Drosophila melanogaster: one gene and its partners. The protein of the gene in region 1 interacts with the protein of each later gene in a pairwise test. Each region holds a gene or a part of one and is shown on either strand. Other genes may lie near its edges. The genes, in order: CG6287, Obsc, Lac and CG5149.

Region 1 (6,555 bases):
AATATCTTCCTCATTTCCAGGGAAAAAGAATTCACAGTTCCATATACATTTTTGTCCATTATATGAGCTCCCATTGTGTGATTCTGTTGCAGAATTTATGAATTTCTTCTTTAAATGGAGCGCTTTTCCATTAAGCTGCTGCAATTGAATCAGAATAAGTATCATACTACTGGTCTCTTTTAAATTTGTTAAATTGTTTAAGAATATCAAGTGGTGCCTTTGCCATAAATGAACTTTCACCTGGCAATGTTGGTTCAGTTGAACGTATTCGCACATGCTGAAGATTATGACACACAAAAGTTGGCAGGAAAGTTCACTGAAACTCCGCTTTTCCTTGAATGGCTATATGTAAAATCAACATTAAACTTGCTTTCTGGTAAAAGCCTTGATTTTTTTTTATCAAAATACAAAACGGTAGTACGAAATTCGGAAAACAAGTCAGCTTTCGTCTAAGTCCTTGTAGCATTTCGATACCTTGAAATGGTAACTTTCTAGGAATAATAATATACATATATAAATATTTAGATCTGAGAGTATTTTAAGAAAACTCTTCTTCTTTTTATTTTTACTTGTGTATTTTGGTTTTTACGTTGTTTACATCCCTGGTTGTAAACTTATTTATTTATAAATGCTGAATATCGAATTTAGAATGTGCTGATGGTTGTGAATATTCGATTTGCTTCACTGGTAATGGGCGAGTGCCTCCTTGTTAATAACGCCCGCATAACTGGTGTACTTCGGCGAGGTTCCATTGAGGGCGATGAACTGCTCCGCCACCTCCACGGCAACACGGACCTGCGCCTCCGAAGTGCTCGCGCCCAGATGCGGCGTGGCCACCACCTTGGGATGACTGATGAGGGCCTTGGTGACCGCAGACTTTGGCGGCTCCTCGGGATAAACGTCGAAGGCCGCGCCGGCCACTTTTCCGCTCTCAAGGCCATCGAGCACGGCCTGCTCGTCGATGATGCCGCCCCGGGCCACATTCACCACCTTAACGCCCTGTTTGCACTTGGCCAGTGTCTCCGCCGATATGAGATCTGATGGGATTCAGCAAAGAAATCTATATAGTTTAGCTTGAATTTTATGCATACTGCTGTTAAATGTTAATCTCTTAATCTCTTATAAATATTCTATCAATGCGCGACTTACTTCTGGTGGCTGGGATCAGCGGCGTGTGCACGGTTATGTAGTCCGCCAGTGGCCAAATCTCCTCCAGCGTCATCTTCTCGATGCCCGCCGCCTTGGCCTCAGCCTCCGTGGTGATGGGATCGTAACCAATAATCTGCAAAGCACTCAGAGTTCGATTAAAATTCCAAAATAAGTAAATACCCCATTCAAAACACACCCGCATGCCCCAGGTCTTCATCCGAATGGCGACCTCGCGTCCAATGCGTCCCAATCCGAGAACGGCCAGGGTTTTTCCATACAGCTCTGTGCCGGCATAGAGCTTCCTGTCCCAGCGACCCTCCTTCATGCTCTGACCGGCGGGGACGACGGGACGGGCCAGGGAGCCAATTAGGATGCACGTCAGCTCACAGGCCGAAATGGAATTGCCACCCGGAGTGCTGAAAGCGACGAGAGTTTAGTTAAACATTCCCTAAATGCCTCGCTAGACACTAGCTGTTGCGCTAAGTTGAGCGTTTCTGGTGGGCAAATGGGTGGCGTTTGTTGTGACTAGACAGCATTATGCAAATTCCGCCAAAAAAGAATTGAATGGGAGGTGGGAAATATGGCAATTTTCCAGCTTTCCAGGACATCTGACATGGATGTGGCCAACCCAGCACCCACCACCCACAACCCATAGCCACCCAAACACCCACGCAACTCCATCGACACTCGTCGTCCCTTAATTATGCGTGTCAAACGGCGTCAATTGACCCAAGTCATGGGTATTCTGGGCTGGGATGGCATATCAACTGCCAATCCTGCGATTCGGAATGCGCATAATTATTTGTGAGCTGCGCCATCGGAGATTACACTACGCTGCATACCATAAAACACTGCTAGTTTGAATACCCATGTTTATGATCATTATTGAGATTACCACAATTTTACTGAACAGTAATATTTCCTCGCAATTGATAAATCTGCCATAAAGGGCTACATAAATTCATTTCCGAGAACAACTAATTAATATTTTCGTTCCATAAATTAGAAACTGTTTAAAAATGCAAATAAATGAAATCGGAGCCGAAAATGGATTGAATTGTTTACCAACTTGAACTATAAACAGAATGGTAAAATATCCATGAAATATATTGCATGGCAAGAGCTCTAATTAACCATAAATAAGTACTTTGTACTGTTTGTACTTTCTATATCAGACTTTCAGCTACAAATACAAGTTGGTCTTGTGGCATAGTGTTCGTGGCTACTCTTTTCCCGCCCTGCAATGCACCGGAGGCTTACGGAGCACTTACTTCAGGACAACGACATTTTGCGCTGTGGCTGCGGGAACATCGATGTTGTCAACACCCGCCCCCGCACGGCCAACGACCTTCAGGCTGCCGGATCCGGCGGCCAAAACTTCCGCGGTTATTTTGGTATCCGAACGAACGATGGCTGCGTCGAAATTCTGAAATGCGGTGTAATTTAATAATTAGCAACTGGGTAAATATAAATATTTGTCATCTAATTGCCTAACTCATTTCCCTGGCCATCTGGATGGCATCGATTACTGCTTTCTTCTGGAAACGTGATTGATACCACCTAACACCTGTACTTTATCATAAATAAAAGCAATTCGTCTGGCGTATGTATGTTTCTGGCTAAGATTATTGAACCTCTTGATATTTTCCGGCAATTTGTGATCCTACTGGAAACAATTTATTTAATGTTGAGGCAACATCGTCTGATCGGCCGTTTGATTGATAAGAACTATTGGACCGATAGTAATAAATGGTGATAACAATGTCTGGCCCAATTGTTCACAGCAGATTATTGCCATTTAAAAGGAATAGTTTTTTTTATTTTGTAGAATAAAATCTGAAAGTGCATTTCGAAAAGTGGTTTAAAATGCTGGGCAGTTTAAAATGAACAATAGAGAATAATATAGTCGAGATACTCGACTAGCAGATACCCGTTATTTGGTTTGTGGGAGTGCGAACGAGCGAAATTACAAAAATTCTTTGGTATATCGATAGAAATTGTCAAAATTGTGGGCGTGGTAGTTTGCGTTCAGACGGGCGGACAGAAGGACGGACATACCGACTTGGCCAATGAATCTAATCAATAATATATATATAATACTTTATATGCTTTCCTGCTACCTGTTACATAAATTTCAAAGAATCTAACGGGTATAAAAACCATTTGGTTCAGACTAAATTCTTTTTCTCTCTGCGAACGTGAAAAAAAATTTGTTGTCAAGTACTTATTTTCTGACCCTTGCAATTTGCTTTTATGTTATTCAATAAAATCACCAATTAAAAGTATCCGTCTCTAAATCAAATAAAATTCAAAACATGCATTCGTGCCCATACAGACATGAAGCGGTTTAACTAATTGAGACAAACATGCTTGTCAAAATTTAAAGCTGTTTTCGTGCAAGAGAAAACAAATTTAAATAAATTATGAGAGTAATTGATTTTGATTTGAAGAAGCCACAAAATGTTTTTTTCTAGTTTTTGTTTATTTTATCTTTATAACTGCGGTGAAAATATTCTCTTAGCCATTAACCCAATAAGGCTTAAAGTTTGGAGACAAGGAAAATAAGATTTGTAAAAACATTCTATATTCCATAACAAAGATGATAATGTTAAAAAAAGGGGTCAATTCCTTATCATTAGTTTTAATTTTGTTAAATACAATCTCCATACTGCAGTAGTTTTGAAATATACTTTCGGTTTGATGTGCTTAGATTGCTTAGTTACAGACTAATTGAAATGTTATTATTATGTAACGCCCACGCGTACTATCATATATGTACACACACATATACAATGCACCCATATCTCAGAGCGTTGCACATGTTTTTAACCACACTTGAATCATTCGCAAAGCTTTCATCCCAGCGACTTAACTCGTTCATATACATCTGAACGTGTGTATGTATTTACTTATTTACCTGTACTGAAATCCCTAAGCCACTTACCTTAACTTCCTGACACAGTTCCTCCACGGGGAGCTTTAGTTTGTAGGTAACCTTGTCAAAAAAAAAGAAGGAAAATATATGGTCAACAACGTTGATTAAATTGTGCAATAAATTAAATGCACTTATTTTCTATTTGTCCACTTCTAAGCGCTTTTACATGCTTGCAAATTCACATACAGTGTGTACTCGATAAGTAAAAGCAATCGAATAGCTTAATTTAAATGAATTGCATTGTAGGCATAGACTTTCAAATATTTAATATCTTTTTAGTGTTAGTTTTCGTCGAAAAAACATTTTTTGTGTGGTTATACTTAGTTTAATTATTTGTATTTTTATCCGAGGGCGCACTGTACTTTTGAGCACTTGTATGGGTGTAAGCTTTTGCTTACTCCAACAAATAATCGACTGTCACGTCAGGGGATTGGCGAACCTTACCTTAATCCCATGCTGTTCCAGCAGCTCCACGCAGGATTTGTCCACAGCATCGCAGACCAGCACTTTTCTTATATTGAGGGGCATATTTGGGTGGGTAATGAATACACTGAAAAATCTGGACAACCGGTAGATTGCGTTAATTTTTGCCAATTACTTTCCGCAACTCACGATCTGCGCCGCCGAGCAAACAAATTGAACTGACTTCGAGAGTGGGTTTCTCGGGCCATCGAACCTGACTTCGAATGCCTCTCGCCGGTGCAGTGCGATTGTTGTTTTTTCTGGGTGATAACCAAACCACTGAGAGGATCGGAGAGCGCCACTTGGATCTTAAAGTTCTCTCCTTCTTCTCGCGCGATTTGTTCTTCTTGAGTGTGCGTGTGTGAGTTGTTTTCGATTTTTGCACGCAAAACAACAATTTTAACCCACGGACGACCCTGTGATTAAAAATGATTTAAAAATTTCAGCTTTTGTAAAAAAATATGGCAAGCTTTCTAACTTTAATTGTATTATGCATTTATTTACTTTCTAATAGGGTTCAAAAAAAAGTACTTACCCATATAATCAAACTCACGCCGAATAGATAAGACTGCATTTATTTTTAATATTTTTATTGTATTTGCTTTTATTTGCAATTTAGCTTTCATTTAACTACGTATTTTCCAAAAACATATTGTGAACAACATTTGAATGCGGAAAATGAAAACGAAAACAACAAAATGTCGTCAAGGTGATGGCAGGTATTCATCCTTAACATTAAATTAAAGGAATCTTACAAAGTTGTTAACAAAATAATTAGGTAACAAATTGAAATATCATTAACTATTTACATACAATTTTTGAAAATTGCTGATTGGATTTTAGTTACCGTTTTTCTCATTTTTTACAATATGTATATGTTTTGTATGTATAAAATATTCTATATAAATTGGGAGCGGTGTTGATATTTCCACCAATAGTTCATTTTTATCTTTCCAGGGTATTCGGTGTGGGGATCTTTGGTTAATAATATATTGATTACGGAAATTTCATGCGTGCTCTTGTCAAATTTTCCACCTTCTATTCCAGTTCAATAAGTTATTTAGGCTAAAAAAATAAGGTTTGCTTTTCTTATTTAAGTGGCTTTGAAAAGTAGAGAAGTTATTACCGCTAAATTTAATTATATATAGGCGTATCTTTAAAGTTTCAGTATGCTTGCTATAAAACTTGTTTGTATGTTTGTGTTTTTTTTTTATAGTTTTCAAGAGTGTCAACAAATCGAAATTGCTTGGTTTGGTTTTCATTTGTTTTATTATAATCGGAAATAAGAGTTTATTATTACAAAAAAATTGCTATACTTTTGAAGCAAACCAGTTTTACTTCTTTGCAGACCTCTGTCCGTCTGCTAGAAGGTTATGTAATGGAATATATGAATTTATCAAGTTTAGTTTTCGAAAACTTTCAAAGAACTTGAGTTGAGAAATTTAAGGCATCTTACAAAATATCTTCAACATATTCCTATCAGATCTGATGAAATTTTCATGGCAAAGTTCACCTTTCCGTTACCAGAAAGTATCTAACAATATCTGGGATAATCAGTTATTTTTTAATCAATATTATTTTAATTAGTTTTTGGATTTCACGCTTACAAAATGCCGGCTGATGTATCTTTATCGGTTTAAATTTTGTTAATTATGGCAAGAACATACATACATATTTATATATGCAGCTCTATAAATGTGTGTATCTTTTTTAATATATACCATTATAATATATTGAATTACCAGTTCTGTGAATTATGTGCAATATTCTAACATACACACTTCTCATCAACTGACCATTTAAACTTAAGTTTTCCGCTTGTCCCCTTCTTAGCTGCAAAGGATCGTATCTAGTTTTGTTTTTAACTTTATGCTAGTATTAAAAAGTAATATTTCATTTAGGTTTAGCTAATACATAGATCATTTTGCTTTGCCACTTTTTACAAGAAGTGCTTGTGTATCGTTTGCTGCGTTCCGTTATATATTTAAATTTCAATTTGTTCCTCGTTA
Region 2 (4,821 bases), on another chromosome or scaffold:
TAAACGTATTTATTGAATATATTGTACTGGTTTCAGTGCTTCTGGGCCTTGGGAGCTTGCTTTGAAGTGGTCCTAGCACTGGTTGTGTATCCCTATTACGGATGGCGAGGTCTCTTGGCCCTTTCGGCTACACCCCTACTCATTTTTACCATCCTATCGCCGGTTCGTATTCCTCGCTCTCTTCAGAAATATCCTTAATCAAATGTATCTTTAAATCACTACAGTGGCTCAGTGAATCGGCTCGCTATTACTCTTACAACGGTCACAATGATAAGGCCATCAAGGTTCTGGAACAGGTGAGTGGTAACTTTATGGAGTGATTATACGTCTAAAAACCTACGATTGTAGATAGCTCACAACAACAAGCGCCACATGCTGATGGGTCGGCTGATGGCCGACGACGAGCCCAGTTGCGCGGAGAGCTTTAGATCCCTGCTCAGCCCGAGCCTGTACAGGACCACCATCCTGTTGTGGTTCCTCTGGCTGGCCTCGGCCTTTTGCTACTACGGCCTGGTGCTGGTCACGACCGAGCTGCTGGTGGCCAGGAACAAGGAGAGCCATCCCAATGAGTGCGTCACCTTCATGACCTCCGACTTTATGGACCTGCTGTGGATCACCCTGTCCGAGTTTCCTGGAATACTGCTGACCATCAAGGTGGTCAAGCTGTTTGGCAAGAAGAAAACCATTGTTCTGCAGTACCTGGCGCTGGTTCTGTGCACTCTGGTGCTGATGTCGGTGGAAAGGTAGTAGTGGTGCACACTCAATTGATCATCTGATAATCAATCCAATCCTCCTCCAATCCTAGTCGCTTCTCCACTTCCGTAACCCTCTTCATTGCACGCGGCACGATATCCGGCATCTTCCAGGCCATTTATGTGTACACTCCGGAAATATACCCAGCTGCCTTGAGATCCGTCGGAGTTTCGGGCTGTTCCGTGCTGGCCAGACTCGGCGCCATGCTGACCCCTTTCGTGGCGCAGGTGCTGATGGACTCGTCCAGAATTCAGGCCATGTCCACGTACGCAATCGTGGGCCTGCTGGCCTCCATAGCCTGCGTCTTTCTGCCCAGGGAAACTGTTGGCTACCACTGAGTGCACTGATTACCATAACTTATTATCTATAACTACTATTAAACCCATTAGTCCCTAGAAGCTGTGTGAATGTTTCATTCGGATTGCCTAGTTTTAGGCTTAGCGGGCTAGTAGTAATCTAAAAAGTCTAGAATAGATTAAGATGCTTCTAACAAGTAACAAAGCTCCTAAAGGGAAAGCTCTAGTCTAGCATTGGCATAAATACTCAGTTGAAGGAGGTGTTACTACTAACTACCCGTTTGTGTTGGTCTAATTGGTGACTAATCTCAACTTTGTAGGCCAATTTCCTCTTATTTATGATTACATTGCTGACAGGTGACAGGAGGAAGTGCAGTTGCAAATTAATTAAACAAGCCAATATTTCTGACCATAAACATTGCGAATAACGTATGGGATCGTATAAATAACTTCGTGCCCGCGCATATATTATAATACTTAATTAAATATGTATGCTGGCGCACTCTGGGTGCCGAAATCTATATGCACTCCTCTGACAGCCATAAACTTTCAGACCGTCCGCTCTGTTCGGCATCTAAGCACATGGCTATGCACATGCAGATGCAGATGCAGATGCAAATGCAGATGCAAATGCAAATGCATTTGCAGATACTGATGGGGATGCGGATGGCGAGTGCGAGGTGCATGGGCATGGGCATTATTTTTAAATTGTGAAACGATGTTCGAGGGGAGCTTTTGTTGTGATCGGCGAATATCGATCAGTCGTACAGTTGTCGGGATGCAGTTAGAATCATTGGTATCCGCACGCAGTAGCCAATATTTCTCACGCGACCGCAGTTTAAATTTAAATCTATTCCACTTTTGAATCGGCCTGGCCCGCGGAAAGGCGGAAAATTCCTCGACTTTTTCAGTTATGACAAGCGAACTCGAGAGTGCCCCGTAGACTAGTCTTCGTAGTTTTCGATACTGGGCTAATGCCGATAATGCCTTAAATCCAGTGCAAATCCAGTGCATTGAAAATTCGAAACGAAATCGCCCCAGTAATAAGTTATGCAATACATTTTCGAATTCGTGCCAATGTGCGTGAGTTAATCAAGTGTGTGAAGTCGAGTTAATCGAGTGATACAAAGTCTTAATATTCAAATCAGCCGGAATGGATGCCGTAAGTTATGCGTGTCCGGAAAATACACTATAGATCGGTCTCTATGAACATGTGCCAAATTTACTTATTAATACTTCTGGGCAAACCAGATGTACATATGTACATACATTGTGTGAGCAAAAGCTACAGTGGACGTCCTTGCTAGGAAATAGCACTTAGTCAATGGTTTTTTCCAACTGCAAAATGTGAATGTAAACTGGTTAACCAGCTAGTGACGAATAAAAGTGCAATTTTATTTAGTTTAGTTTGAGTGCTTCAAGATGATGATACTAGTGACCTTAAAACCGAAGGACCCTAATAGTATCTTATACTCGGTGCACAGATATTTTCCTCTCGAAAGTGAAAGCCACCTCTGACGCGAAGTGGGTTAGGATCCATCTTGTGGTTCCACTGTGGTTCCACTGTGGTCTCGGATCATTGGCCCGAAGTGAAGAGCCCTGTTCGAGGGAACAAATCGGGGGATCAGCTGATTCGGCTGCACAAGCTTTGCACTCAGTAAAATTGGACATCGGAATAAATAGCCGAGCCCGCGTGTCTATGTCAACGCAAAATAGACTTTCAGCTAGCGGGCTAAATATTGCTCAGCCACTTTTGTTTGTGAAATAGCGAAGTCGAACGCGTCAAAAGATCAAATCGATATCGCACCAATTGCATAAACCCTAAAAAAACTCACAGATCTATAACGATCTATTTGGGATATATGTACATATATTTTTGTGTTGAAGTATCGAAATGGGTGATAGAAATGTGTGTGTGAACCAAGAGAGTAGCTATAGAAAAGAAAGTTCGTACTTAAGATATCGGTTCTACCCAGCAGGTGGCGGATATCGTGTTTGTGAGTCGGGACTACCAGGCTCAGTCGCTGGCCACGGACGAGATCAGCGTTTCTCGCGGGGATCTGGTCGAACTGATAAGTTCGAAGGCATCCGAAAAGTCAAGGTGAGCGATTGAGTTCATCGAGAAGTGGTATGGTACTCTAGTGCAGTGAGTTTTCCAGATGCTTTGTGCGAATGTTCGATAGCGGGGACTCCCCCAAGGAAGGCTGGGTGCCCATCGATATACTAGAGTTCAATCCCACCATGAGCAGTTCGAATGGCAAGGAGAGCGGCGATGCGGAGTTTAGGAAACTGTAAGGACTTCAACTCACTCCATCCAGTTGGACAGATAGATACTAGTTGTAATGGCCGTTGTAGAACCATTCTCAGGGAGCTGGTGGAAACTGAGGAGGAGTTCTCCAGGGATCTGCTCCACGTGGTGGAGAAGTACATCAAGGGCATCGACAAGCCGGTGGTGCCGCGCTCCGTGCGGGACAACAAGGATATCATATTCTGCAATTTCCTGCAAATCGCCGAGTTTCACAACAAGTAAGAAGCGAATGGGGTGAACTGGAGTACACGAAGTTAACACTTGGATTTTCAGCGTGCTGAAGGAGGGCCTCAAGTGCTACAGCAACCAGCCGAATATGGTGGCCAAGACCTTCCTGCGCCTGGAGCGGGACTTCGACAAGCATGTGGTGTACTGCCAGAACGAACCATTGGCCCAGGACTACCTGGGCTCCAGTCCCGATGCCAAGAAGTACTTTCAAGTGAGTATCCCGGGCAGTCGAGCGTATCCAGATTGCTTTCCCATTTCATTCTGCCATGTCGAATGCCGCACCAATGCCCCCGACTATTGCAATTGTGGGCAGAAATCAAAAGCAATTGAGAATTGAATAAACTGCGAGGCTGAGTAAGTGTGGAATCGTCTTCGAATATTATGCGTGTGCTGTGTGCGAGAATCGGTTTATTTTTAAAGGCAGACGCTTTCGAATCCAAAGCTTTTGCAGTTTTCAGTTGCTTCCGAGTAGTGTTCGCGGTCGTGTCGTGCTAATTACTCATATACGTAACCGTTTCGCCTAAGGTACTTCAAGTTTGTCCCCTCTGACTGGACCCATCTCCATGTAGTCCTCCCACTTTTAAATCTGAGATAAATGCGGATAACGCACCCCCCCCCCCCCACACCATTCAGTGAAATCCTGGCCACTGTGCGAGGCCATTCGGTTGAATCCACCTGACGTGATGGAACTCCACAGCCGATCAATCGAGTTGCTGGAAAAAATATCAATTTCGAATCGATCCGTGAATACTTGTGACTTTTCGCCCGTTATGCAACATTTCCGAAATTTTACTGTGCGAGAGTGTATTTATTAAAAGATACGCCAATACGTATACATTTATAAATATATGCATGCGAACAATTTTTCCTCAGCCCACATATTTCGACCTCAGATCTAAAAGTGTTTAAATATGTATATACTGGCGAAAATATTGTAACATTGACTTTAATGAAATTCGTTTCGAAATTGGTTCAGCAGTGAATATTCGTGGTTGATGAATACGAGCATATGAATATGAAATGAGCACTCAGCTCATTCATTCTCGCAGAGTGAATAAAAAACGAACAAACATTTCAGTAGCAGTATTCATTATATACACACATAGCCTTCCAAAGCGAAGTACAAGCACACATACATATGTACATATAGACAATCATTCACCGACGCACGCACACGTATCCGTTTTTGCAACAAGTGATAAATTTTTAAACATCGTTCCAAAAATAACCCCAAAC
Region 3 (4,979 bases), on another chromosome or scaffold:
AGCAATACGAATGGTGGGAAGGGGAGGAGGTGTGGTGTTACCCAGGGTTGTGGGCCTGGGAGATTCTTTTGCAGGGGGCGCAGCCCATTTGCCATGCTCTCAGGATCCCTTTGTTTGCGTATGTTTGCTGTTTACTCGTTCCACCTCTGAGTTTCATTTTTCAGCTTTTTCATTTTTCATTTTTTTATACCACCCAAAAGCCCAGACCGTGTCTGATGTGTAAGAAACAGCCCTCTGCCGCAACGTTTTTGCACGGGTTGTTTGCCCGGAGTCGCAGAGTCGCAGAGTCGCAGATGAGGAGACCCGGAGACCATCAAACGGTCCGTGGAACGTTTTCAAGTTGCGGAAGCAATTGCGCGTGCTGAAGTTGTCGAATGCCTCAGAAACTCGAATGGGAATGGAAATGCGAAACGTGAAAAGCGGCACAAAGGCTGTGCAGTCGGAGCTCCTCGTCACGCCCACCTCTGTGTACACCTCTATGTCCTCGATGGCCTCGGAACTGCAACTCCCCCAACGACGATAGCCCTTGGAAAACATTTGACTCGGCTCGTTGGCGCATTTCAAAGCGCTGCTGGACGTGAAACTGTGCTGTTTGCCTAAGCGCTTTAAATTAGAGCGTGGAAAAGTGTGAAACTCCTGGCAAATACTGGACCTCAAACCCGGAGCCCTTTGATTTATGGCGGAATAAAGTTAAGCCATTCCTGGCCAGCCGTGGAGCGTATCCAACTGGTTGCGGTTGGGTTTTATAGCTTGTAACGCGGGGCACGCCTGGTTTTTATTTCATCATTTTTTTGTTTTGAACCCACAGAAGGAGCCCTCAATGCCGTGGCAATTAAAGATTGCACAAGCCGAAGCTGATAGCTGATAGATACAAAGCCCCGGGAATTAAGCTGGCTATCGGATGTAACGAAGCCCAGGTAGGGTGTGTCCGCGAGTCGGTTCTGGGTAATGAGTAACTCTCGGATTAGTTACACTAATTGCTTTCCAAATGACGCTGCAATCTTGTTAAGGACAGCCATTATGTTTTGCCCGAGGGTCGGAGTTCAGGTAAAGATCGCATCGAGATCGCTATGGAACAGCAGCACCTGTATGGGATTAACCTAGCGAGAAGATTCTATTGTTCCATCTACCTGGGCACCAAATTACTTTAGTGTTTTATTAGCTTTTCTCTTCCTTTCGAGAATTTCTGGATGGACAAGTAAACGCAAACAATTTGTAGATAGCATTTGCACTTGTCCGAAACGGAGTTTCCCGAGAAATATGGACCGTTTTCTTGGAATGGGAGGAACATAAAGAAGGTGAAGAAAAATAAATTTATTATTTCTGGCATGTACATATATAACCCCCCCATTTGGGTTTTTCCAAACTCGTCAAGTGTATGGATAAGAAATTTCATTTTGCGCAAATATCGATGATACATTATTCTAATAATCAAAAGAACATGTATTTATACAAAAGCCAAATATCATACATATGTACGTGCTGATTTCTTCAAAAGTAATGAATAATAAAATGGATTTAGAAAGAGAGAAGCTAGAATTGAGTTCCTTGCTAAGTTAAATAACAATCAAACTTTTTCGCACAACTTAATGTATTCTTGAGCTAACAAACTTGCTAGAAATTAGATTTTCCCTTGTTATTTGGTTAGACCTCTTTGCGAAACAATCTTCTAAGGCCCAACAAGGTAAACAAAGGGTAGCATGTGTATGTTTTCGAACGACAGAAGTTGGAAAACGGCCTAAAATGAAAAATCAATCTGCTGTTGCGAAACTCAGCCCTCGAAACAGGTGGGGGGTGGCAGGGCAGGGCTAGACCCCGTTTACCAGAACAGCCAGCCCAAGCCGAGTAAACAAAACTGAAAAACTAAGGTGACGCCTGAGTGAGTCACGGTCACTCACACTGGAGCCCAGAGCATCGAGCCCAGTTAAAAGCCCCCATTCCCAGCCATCCCAGCTAAAACCTAATGCCAAAGCGGGACGGACAGAGCTACCTGACCAGAGAGCGGGAGCCAAGAGAACGGAGAGAGAGAGAGAGCGAAGAGGGAGAGAGAGAAGTGGAGAACGCGCCCCACCAAACGAAAGCTGACTTAGCCAGCGTACCCAGCGTAACCCAAGATAATCACCCACAAATAAATGAAGAAACTCACCAGTTGGCAGAATGGCATTGTTCTCGCGCCTCCAGGTGATGGTGGGTGTGGGATAGCCGCTGGCGTAGCACTCCATCTGGACCTCGCTGCCCTCGCTGGCCACCACCGACTGCGTGGAGTTGTCCGAGATGACGGGGGGACGGCGCACCGATAGCTTCACTTCGGCGCTCACTTTGTGAACGGTGGAGATCACCACCTGGCAGGTGTAGGTGCCCGCGTCCGTCTCCTGAATGTCCTTGATCTGCAGCTTGTAGGTGGACGAGTTGGGATCGTACCGCAGCGAGAAGCGCGAATCCTTGATGACCAGCGTGGAGCCCGTGGAGAGGAAGACGGGATCGCTGTCCGTCTTCAGGAACAGCACGTTGTACTCTTTGGCATACTGGACGGAGCAATCGAACTCCACTGTGCCGCCGATATCCTTGATCTGCTCCTGCGTGATGTAGGATATGGTCGGGGTTCGCTGTGCTAGCGTTTGCTGCACAAAAATGGCCAGGAGCAGGGTGCTCCACACGCAATTCGAGATACTCGGCCGCCACATCTTAGAAATTGACTTTTAGCACCACACCCTGCAAGCGCGCGATTTAATATATGTAGTGTTTCTCAAGAGCTGCGCTCCAAGATCTCAATCTTCTCCAAATAGGGTGAGAGCGCGGCGAAGACGTCTCCAAGAAACCGAAGACAACTATTGCCGTTTCTTTCTTGAGCACAGCAAACGCGGATGCTGAACTGCAGTCTCCACACTTGTCTTCTCGCTCAGAGCTGGTTTCAGACTTCTTCTCTCGATCAGTCACGAGTTTTGGCCAAGACGGAGATAACGCGCCGGAGAGACAACTTCACAGTTCGAAAGTCGCGAAACGAATGAATCTCTGGCTTTGAAAAGTGCGCCATCAAGAGCGCAACTTGCCTGGAGATGGGCACCTTGAATGTGCCTAAATAAAGACAGTAGTGTTATCGGTATGCAACATAGCTCAGACTCAAACCAGAGATAGCATATGGTTGATATACTAAGTGGAGACACACACTCGAAAATCAGATGGCAACGCCATTCCTCTTGGAACCAATGGCATCCTCAAATTAATTTGAAATTTAAAATGAAATTTCAAGCTAGTAACTTCATTTCAAAATAAAAACGTTCATTCTTTGTGATTGTTTAAAATGCCTTTTTATTTAATTTTCTCTTTCTTGTTATTTTATTCAGTAGTTATGTATAAGTTCTATAAATGTCGGATTTTCTCTATATCGTGCTCTATGCCGTTACGATTATATGGTATAACTTTTTTGTATGAATGCATATTATAAATGGATAATATATAAATCGTGTTTAGTTTTTCGTTTTAGTGTTCAACATTGGGCTTCTCTTTCATGTGATTCAAATAGTTGTTGGCTTTATCGTATCTCAAAGTGTATAATGTATATATATATATAATGTAGAGCATTTAGAATTTGATTTTAGGTTCTCAACAAGTTGCTAGTTATTAAGTACATAATATGTCAATGTCTATATCGTATTTGTATTACGCATTACGTGATTTGATTTTCCATTTGTTAAGTTTCTTGGTAATAAATATCCGCTGACGGGGGCGCTTACACAATCTAAAAGCCAATTACGAATCGCGGAAACCTAAAATTAAAACACCATACCTCTTATTGCCCTTTAGCAGTACGATCGTAAAAGTTTCAACGAGATTCAATGGTTTTGCGACTTCGAAGAGCAGTGCAACTGCAAGTCTTTTTTATCAGCTATATTCATATCTTTTGCTTCAGTAAAATAATCATATAGATGCATATATCCGTTTACATATCTGTGTTTTCTGTGTAGATAGCAATCTTCAAAGTATAAATTATAATGATTAAGGTAGTGTAGGCTACGGCTCAGTAAAATAATCAATAAATAAATTGCTCTAAGTCAACGTATGAGTTAAGGTAAGGTAGAAAGCTAAGCGAGAATTCGTCTTCATCCATCCAGCTGCCTCTGGAGATTCCCAGTCCTGCGGTTTCCACTGGTAGCCAGTTCTTAGTTCTTCTGCGAATTAAGACTCCATTGTGCAAACTGCTCCTGCCATTGGCTATTCGCATTTGCCTGTGGAAACATAGAAATCTGTATTAAAATAAGTCATCGAAGCCTCATGTTTTCTCTTTAATCGTACTCAAGATCTTTGGCATGCAAGGCAATTGGAAAGTAGCAATCACTACACTAGCTACAGGATATATAGATATATATTCGAATTATGTTTCGGATATCGAGTGCATGTACAGAGAGAAATAGATAAATAAGGATAGACAACGGCAAAGAACAACATCTAGATCAACAGTGAGCAGGATTTCATGGCGAAATCCTTTACCTTTTCATTCCACTCTTGGTTATACGATTGAGATTCGTCGAAATCTGAAATTGATCAAGTTTGCGGTGAGCATATGTATTATCGGTATCATGGCTCAAATCAAAATCAGACAATTTATTCGAATCCTTTGAGTCAAGCAGCCAACGTGAATCAAATCTAGAGACTAACTAGGATGAGCTGACTGAGATTGATTGATATATATATAGAGAGAGAGAGAGACGGTTGAGAGTGCAGCAATGATGATGAGCTATGTTGTAGAACTATAGAAGTAACTATAGATAGAGCCCCGACTGGAAACTACCTGAGGTGGAGTGGAAGTTCGTGAGTCGAGCGAGCTACGATGGTCTATACTGTAGAGGCAGCAGTAGATTTTGCATATTTTACCTGATCACAGAGTATATATATAACCTACGACGAACACTTTATATATTCAGACTATACTTCATGATATAAGCATGCATGATCAGCTGCAGTTCATCGATTGTCTCACC
Region 4 (6,065 bases), 3.8 Mb from region 1:
AACTGTTGAGTAGGGAAACCATTGCTGGTAATCCTCCAGCCTGACGCAGTTGCTCCCTATTGCTTTGAAATCTCACACATTCAGATATAGCTCCGGTCACGTTGGTCAGGACCTCGTCACACTCATCATTTAGCAAGGCCACCAGGTGGTTCACCGTCCTGAGTTGATCCAGCACTTTGACATTTGCATCGGTTACGGCACACATCCAAATCGCTCCAGTGGCGCCTCTCAATAAAGGCTTATTTTCCCTCACATTCTTGTCCTTTATGATAGTTACCAAAGGTTCCAAGCCCCCAGCCTCCCTCACCAAATCCCTGGTGGTTCCGTCGAAGGCGCACTTGTAGATCGCTGTACTGCCCTCCATCTTCAGCTCGGTATTTTCGGAACTCAGATGGCTCACAATGTCGGGAATCATGCCCTCGGTGGTGATGGCCAGTTGGAACTTCGGCTCCGAGGAGCACTTTCGAACGGTGCCCATTATGGGAATGACGACATCGATGTGACAGGACTTAAGGAGCTGAGCCATCAAAGGAACAATTCCGCTCTTGCGCATCTGCTCCATGTTGTGCTTGGAATCGGCCAGAGTGAAAAGAGCCCGGGCTCCAGCGCGTGTCATATCGAGAGATTCCAGATCATCTGGACTCAATTGGTCACGAGGCGTCTTTAGAATGCTATAATATAATTAGGTTTTTTTTTAATTATTTCTTATATGTGGTGATGTAGTATGAAGCACTTTATCCAATGCCAACTCACCTCAACTTGATGTCGATGAGATCCACCAGCTTGGGGATTCCTCCGCAGGTGCGCACATACTTTCTGGCCAGTCGCACCTTGCACACATTGGCCAATGTCTCGGCGGCCATGGTTTTTAGGTCCTTCATGGAAGAGTTTAGGATGTCCACAATGAGGGGAATGCCATCCAGATCTACGATGGTCTTCCTAATATCGATGTTCAGTGTGATATCTGAGAGAACTTTGAGGGCGCCCAAACAGCACTTGGTGTCGCTGCACTCCAGGATGTTAACCAAGACATCGAGTCCGCCGATGTCCGAGATGGCGAACTGATTGATCTGGGTGCTCAGATCGTAGTCCTTCAAGCAGCACAACGATACTATAGTGGCTGTCTGATTGCCCGCCTTGATGTATTTCACCAGTTTTTGGATATTATAATAGTCAGCCGGAATCTCAGCGGCTCGCGCCACTTCCTTCCAGCGTTCCTCCTCATCCGTAGACGATTCCACCTCCGTGGTATCCGAGTCCTCGGCGGCCACCTGGCGCTTATCCTTTGAGAATCTGTTGGGACAGGATCCGCACTGTTCTTTCTTCTTTCGACTCCGATTGTGGGACGTTCCGCTGCTAGTGCCAATCATCCTTTCGCGTTGGATTACTCACAGATTTGGCCAATCGTATTCCGGAAATATCTGTCGGTATGCCAGCTTTCTTCAGTTTTGTATCGGAATTTATTGTGTTTTTGTGTGGGAGAACTTTATTAGGCCAGGCAATTGATTTAATAAGGCGTGTTGCTAAGGTAACTGAGATAATTTCAAAAATACCGGGCTAGGGCAAAGGTATCTTAGCTCAAACTTGTAAGTTTTTTTTTATTTTAATAAATTTTTAACTACAGCTATCCAAGGCATTTAAAATTTATTTTATTCGCTTGGCCTTCGTTGAATTCGCTTAGCGGTTAAAATTAACCGTTTAGCAAATACATCGACCTGACTTAGCACAGACAATAACCATTCATAGTGCAGACGACCACCGCGAAATTTACCCGTTTCCGAAACTATCGAGGGTATCGCAGGGAAATCGACTGCCATTCCATCACCAGCTTGTGTTGTTTGTTTTTTATTTTCAATTAAAATCCGCGATCATCCGCAGCTGCAGCTGCATTGTTTGTTTACCAGCCGTCGTAGCACCAGCCAACTGAATTTCGTGTCCTGAGATGGGAAATGCGAGTGGCAAGCGGGAGACGGATAATCTCTACAATTCGGAAGAGCTACGCATGCTGGAATCCGCGTACAAAAACGCCTCTGGCGGAGCACTTGAGAAGTTGACCCAAGACAGATTGGTGGTAAGTCAAGTAAATCCAGTTACCGTGCCACGTGTGCACTGCGAAAATCAATGGCAACTGCATTCTGCATTTGCGGAAGGGTCAGGGTCACAAGTTCAAGGACGCGCGGAGTGAACTTTCTTCGGCAAAAAAAGAGAAATCGGGACTTTCGAGTGCATGACAAACGGCCGTCCATCCACCTGCTGCGATGGCCACCCTTCACTTGAATGGGTATATCCTTTAGGGCATTAATTTGTTGTTGTCACTAACTCCTATTTCGAGGATTAAACATTGAAGTTAATCATAGTACTATGTTCCGAAAAAGAAGCTTAGTTATATAAGAGAGTGAGTCGCAACATTATCCGGCATTATACAAAAGTTCAAAGTTTCTAAACCTTATTTTAATACAGTTCTTTTTCGATTTAAAGTGCAAACCAGGAAATTTAACAGAGTTTATAAAAAGTAAATTATTCAACTTGTTTAAAAATGTAATTTTCTAAACTAGTCAGTCCTATTTAGATTAAATGTACACGTAACTTTCCAAAATTGTTATTTTAACCCATTTAGTTAAATCAATCTGATCATACACAATTTATGCTATAATTTTTCCGATGCGGGTTCAAGGCCCCAGATTTGTGTTTTATTTTTATCACAGCACAGATGACGGAAATGCAACCACTCAAAAAATGTTTGTTTGTAACCAGATGATGATTTTTCCTTATAATATTTCCATCTATTTATAGCTCGTGTTTGATTATCACAGCGCTTCCTAGGGTATAGCAAAATTCGATATCTTCAACTCGGGCGTTATCAGTTTCGAATTGATAATTCCTGGGCCAGTGCGAACGTGTCCATAATTTGTCTAATTTGTTTGCTGCCGCATTTCACTGTTTGTCTTTTGCTTTGTTGAATTTGCTTGCTAACGAATTAGTCGTGATTTCAATGACTGGGGTCGTCAATTAGGGCCAAACCCAATTGAATTAAAAATAAACCATATGCTTAACCCGTTTACAGCATGGCATGTGAAATAGTTGATTTTTAGAATGAGGAAATTATAAGACTTGCATTCATATAGAGTAATTTAAGCGGAAACTCTCTAAATTGAAACTTTACATACATTGAAGTAGTATTTATTTTCATAAAACTTGAGAGACTTTGTTTTCAGTCAAACCAAATTATTATTCATTGTACGTCCTTCAATGGGTTAATCTGTGTCAGCGCTTCCCAGACCTTCGTTCCCTGCAAGAATTTGCTGACAGCAGCGGGAAAATTATGTTTACGTATCCGGCGCGCATTTTGTTTATGTACACACATATACATGTATCTGTTGTTTTGTTTCGAAAATAGGAAACTTGGTCGCAAACCATCGAAAGATCCCTGGCCGAAAGTACGGCTCAGTATCTATTTACGCCCACGAAGCCAGGTCAGCAATGTGTCAACCTTCAGCTGAAGAAATTTGGAGAGCCCTACTACATCATGGAACGCGGTACTATTGACCAGAAAATGCAAATGCTCCTGGGCTCAATGGAGAGAAGTGGAAATGACACCTTCAACAGCAAGCAATTGGAGCAAGTGAGTCTATAAATAAGTAGTCATTGTCATCAGATCGCGGAAATAATATTTATAACTTCTGTCAGCCGAGCCTCATTAGGATTCATAACATGTTTGTTATTGAATTAGGTTTAGCTCTCCATTTATGTTTATCCTGAAAACTAGATTTCCACGTTTATTTTCTTAGCTGTCATATGAACAACTTGTTTATTTAATTCTTTTATCTTTTGCTCGCGAATTAATCAATTTTATAATTCCCCAGTATATCTACTCGGTGATCAAGAGCTACGTGCACTTGGAAAGTACAGCGAAAAACTCTGGCATCAAGGAGTGGCACGATCTTGGCTTTAACACCACGGAAAGGTCCGCCGCCACATTTGCCAAGGGCCTTATGAGAAATCTGGGCAAGGAGCTAGAGCACACTATGCCCAACGATGCCCTGGAACGTTGGTTACACGTCACTCCGCAGTTTTTGCAGATTTGGCGCGAGGTCTTTAGCCAGCTGTATTGTCGCCATGGTGGCAGCAAACGCAACATAATCAAGGAAATGGAAATTCCAATTCTGCCAGCACTGTGTGGTAGGACAAAGAAAATTTTTAAATTTATTAAAATCGTTTATAACTTTTTTCCTATTTTCCAGATGCTCCGCAAAATAGTCATTATCGCCCTATCATCGAACTACCTCACGTCCTGTATATCAATGCTCAGCTGCCCCGCGAACATCGGCACAAATGGCGCTTTCTATTCTCATCGAAAATCAACGGGGAAAGCTTCTCGACGATGTTGGGAAAAGTGCTGGACAAAGGACCAACGCTGTTCTTTATTGAGGACGAGGATCAATATATATTTGGCGGCTACGCGTCCGAAACGTGGTCCGTGAAACCGCAATTTGGAGGCGATGACAGCTCATTGCTCTACACCTTAAGCCCTGCCATGCGGTGCTTTTCGGCCACAACTTATAACAATCACTATCAGTATTTGAATTTGAATCAGCAGACTATGCCGAATGGCCTGGTGAGTAATGTTTATAGCTAATTGATTGATTGCTTTGCTAAATGTTTATATTTTTCGTATACAGGGCATGGGCGGTCAGTTTGATTTTTGGGGCCTTTGGATTGACTGCAGTTTCGGCGATGGACAAAGCGTTGAAAGTTGCACTACATATCGAGACTACGTGCAGTTGAGGTGAGTGTAAATTAAAATCTTGATTATGTTTCACCTTACAGACCACTAGATTCTATATTTTAATTCAACATTATTTTAAACAATTGTGGTTAATCTACCAATTATTTATCGTACCCAAGTAAACGGAAACAGTTCAAAATACGAAACATGGAAGTTTGGGCCGTAGGAGACTTACCAGTTAAAGAAGAAGACGAAGAAGGCGACGGTCACGTATGTCAAATTAAACTCAATATTATATTAAATAAATAATCATATCTTTAACCCATAGAAACGTTCTGTGCTGGATGGCAATTTGGAAGATCGGGCCATGTTGGAAATTGCGGGCAAGAAAATGCACTCGGATGGATTGCGTGAGCCCAACATGGATGATTGATATTATGTGAAACTATTTAAGGAAAAAGTTTTGTTTTATCATCGAGAATTTGTGAGACCATGCCCGATATGGGTGTGCAGTTAATGATTCAATTCAGTTTCCTTAGCTTTTTTGCAATCCCTATCGAACACACAAAAAAAGTCCTGCGAACAAAAGAGTATTTGTTCAATCCATTCCTATAAACGTTTTTGTTTAGGTATTAATGTTTATATATACAATGTATAATGGATATAGTTTATGAAATACTGAGAGTATTGTTGTTGCGTTTTAGATCTTAAAGTGAGAAAAGTAAATCATTTAAATGATGTAACAAAGAAGCAAGCATAATAAGCAATGTTAATTCGTCGAATTTTTCCCATTTTTATCCTACGTCAATAAAATGCAAATTAATTGCTGAATTTATATCAATGTCTTTAAAGTTAAATGTTTGAGTATGCCAAGGTAGCATTTACCTACAAATAACCTAAATAATTAAGTGGTTTATAGAGATAGAAAAATGAAATGCGGTAAGAAAAAAGTGAAAATTTAAATAACGATTTATCCCAAGACATTTTATTTATTCCATTGTGTGAAACGTTTTTGAGAAAGTGATGAAGAAAACTTCAATCATTATTTTGGAATTTTAGGTGGGTTTTAGCTAAATTGTCTTATGGTTTGCATAACAATTAATTTTAATATTTTTACTCTTAATCACTAGTTTTAGATATCGACGGCATAGCCTGAAAGAGTGATTCCAGGTGCAATCTCCTCTTCTACATAGGATCCTGCCTCCTCGAAGGATCTAGCATTGCTATCTTCGAAGCTGCGACCCACGCTGGCTGGAGATTGTCTCAAGGTCGGAGCCCTCTGCTGCTGGCCAAACTTCCTAGACACACCATAGTTTCCCGATGATGAATTATAGCCCTC

Evidence for each region.
Region 2: the proteins of CG6287 (region 1) and Obsc interact in a two-hybrid assay, tested with the Drosophila melanogaster proteins (one large-scale study listed by BioGRID).
Region 3: the proteins of CG6287 (region 1) and Lac interact in a two-hybrid assay, tested with the Drosophila melanogaster proteins (one large-scale study listed by BioGRID).
Region 4: the proteins of CG6287 (region 1) and CG5149 interact in a two-hybrid assay, tested with the Drosophila melanogaster proteins (one large-scale study listed by BioGRID).

What each region holds. Positions count from the first base shown.
Region 1 is NT_033779.5:11,150,990-11,157,544, forward strand, and holds CG6287 (uncharacterized protein), read right to left. Parts: upstream 4,733-6,555; 5' UTR 4,613-4,732; coding exon 4,529-4,612; intron 4,145-4,528; coding exon 4,094-4,144; intron 2,576-4,093; coding exon 2,421-2,575; intron 1,566-2,420; coding exon 1,346-1,565; intron 1,283-1,345; coding exon 1,150-1,282; intron 1,038-1,149; coding exon 682-1,037; 3' UTR 517-681; downstream 1-516.
Region 2 is NT_033778.4:24,011,243-24,016,063, reverse strand, and holds the start of Obsc (obscurin), read left to right. Parts: upstream 1-1,809; 5' UTR 1,810-2,202; coding exon 2,203-2,211; intron 2,212-3,025; coding exon of another isoform or gene 3,026-3,028; coding exon 3,029-3,150; intron 3,151-3,208; coding exon 3,209-3,340; intron 3,341-3,404; coding exon 3,405-3,575; intron 3,576-3,630; coding exon 3,631-3,796; intron 3,797-4,041; exon of another isoform or gene 4,042-4,110; intron 4,111-4,821. Other genes in the region: CG4324 (uncharacterized protein), read left to right, coding at 37-162, 225-296, 349-743, 806-1,091. UniProt on the Drosophila melanogaster protein: Structural component of the muscle M line which is involved in assembly and organization of sarcomere.
Region 3 is NT_033778.4:12,451,222-12,456,200, reverse strand, and holds the start of Lac (lachesin), read right to left. Parts: upstream 3,012-4,979; 5' UTR 2,685-3,011; coding exon 2,147-2,684; intron 1-2,146. Other genes in the region: Dyb (dystrobrevin), read right to left, coding at 4,911-4,979. UniProt on the Drosophila melanogaster protein: Required for normal tracheal development and maintenance of the trans-epithelial diffusion barrier. Functions as a homophilic cell-adhesion molecule. May play a role in early neuronal differentiation and axon outgrowth.
Region 4 is NT_033779.5:7,383,981-7,390,045, reverse strand, and holds CG5149 (uncharacterized protein), read left to right. Parts: upstream 1-1,792; 5' UTR 1,793-1,942; coding exon 1,943-2,071; intron 2,072-3,397; coding exon 3,398-3,622; intron 3,623-3,863; coding exon 3,864-4,179; intron 4,180-4,241; coding exon 4,242-4,615; intron 4,616-4,679; coding exon 4,680-4,786; intron 4,787-4,905; coding exon 4,906-4,996; intron 4,997-5,054; coding exon 5,055-5,159; 3' UTR 5,160-5,560; downstream 5,561-6,065. Other genes in the region: gudu, read right to left, coding at 1-671, 754-1,370; ninaC (neither inactivation nor afterpotential C), read right to left, coding at 5,859-6,065.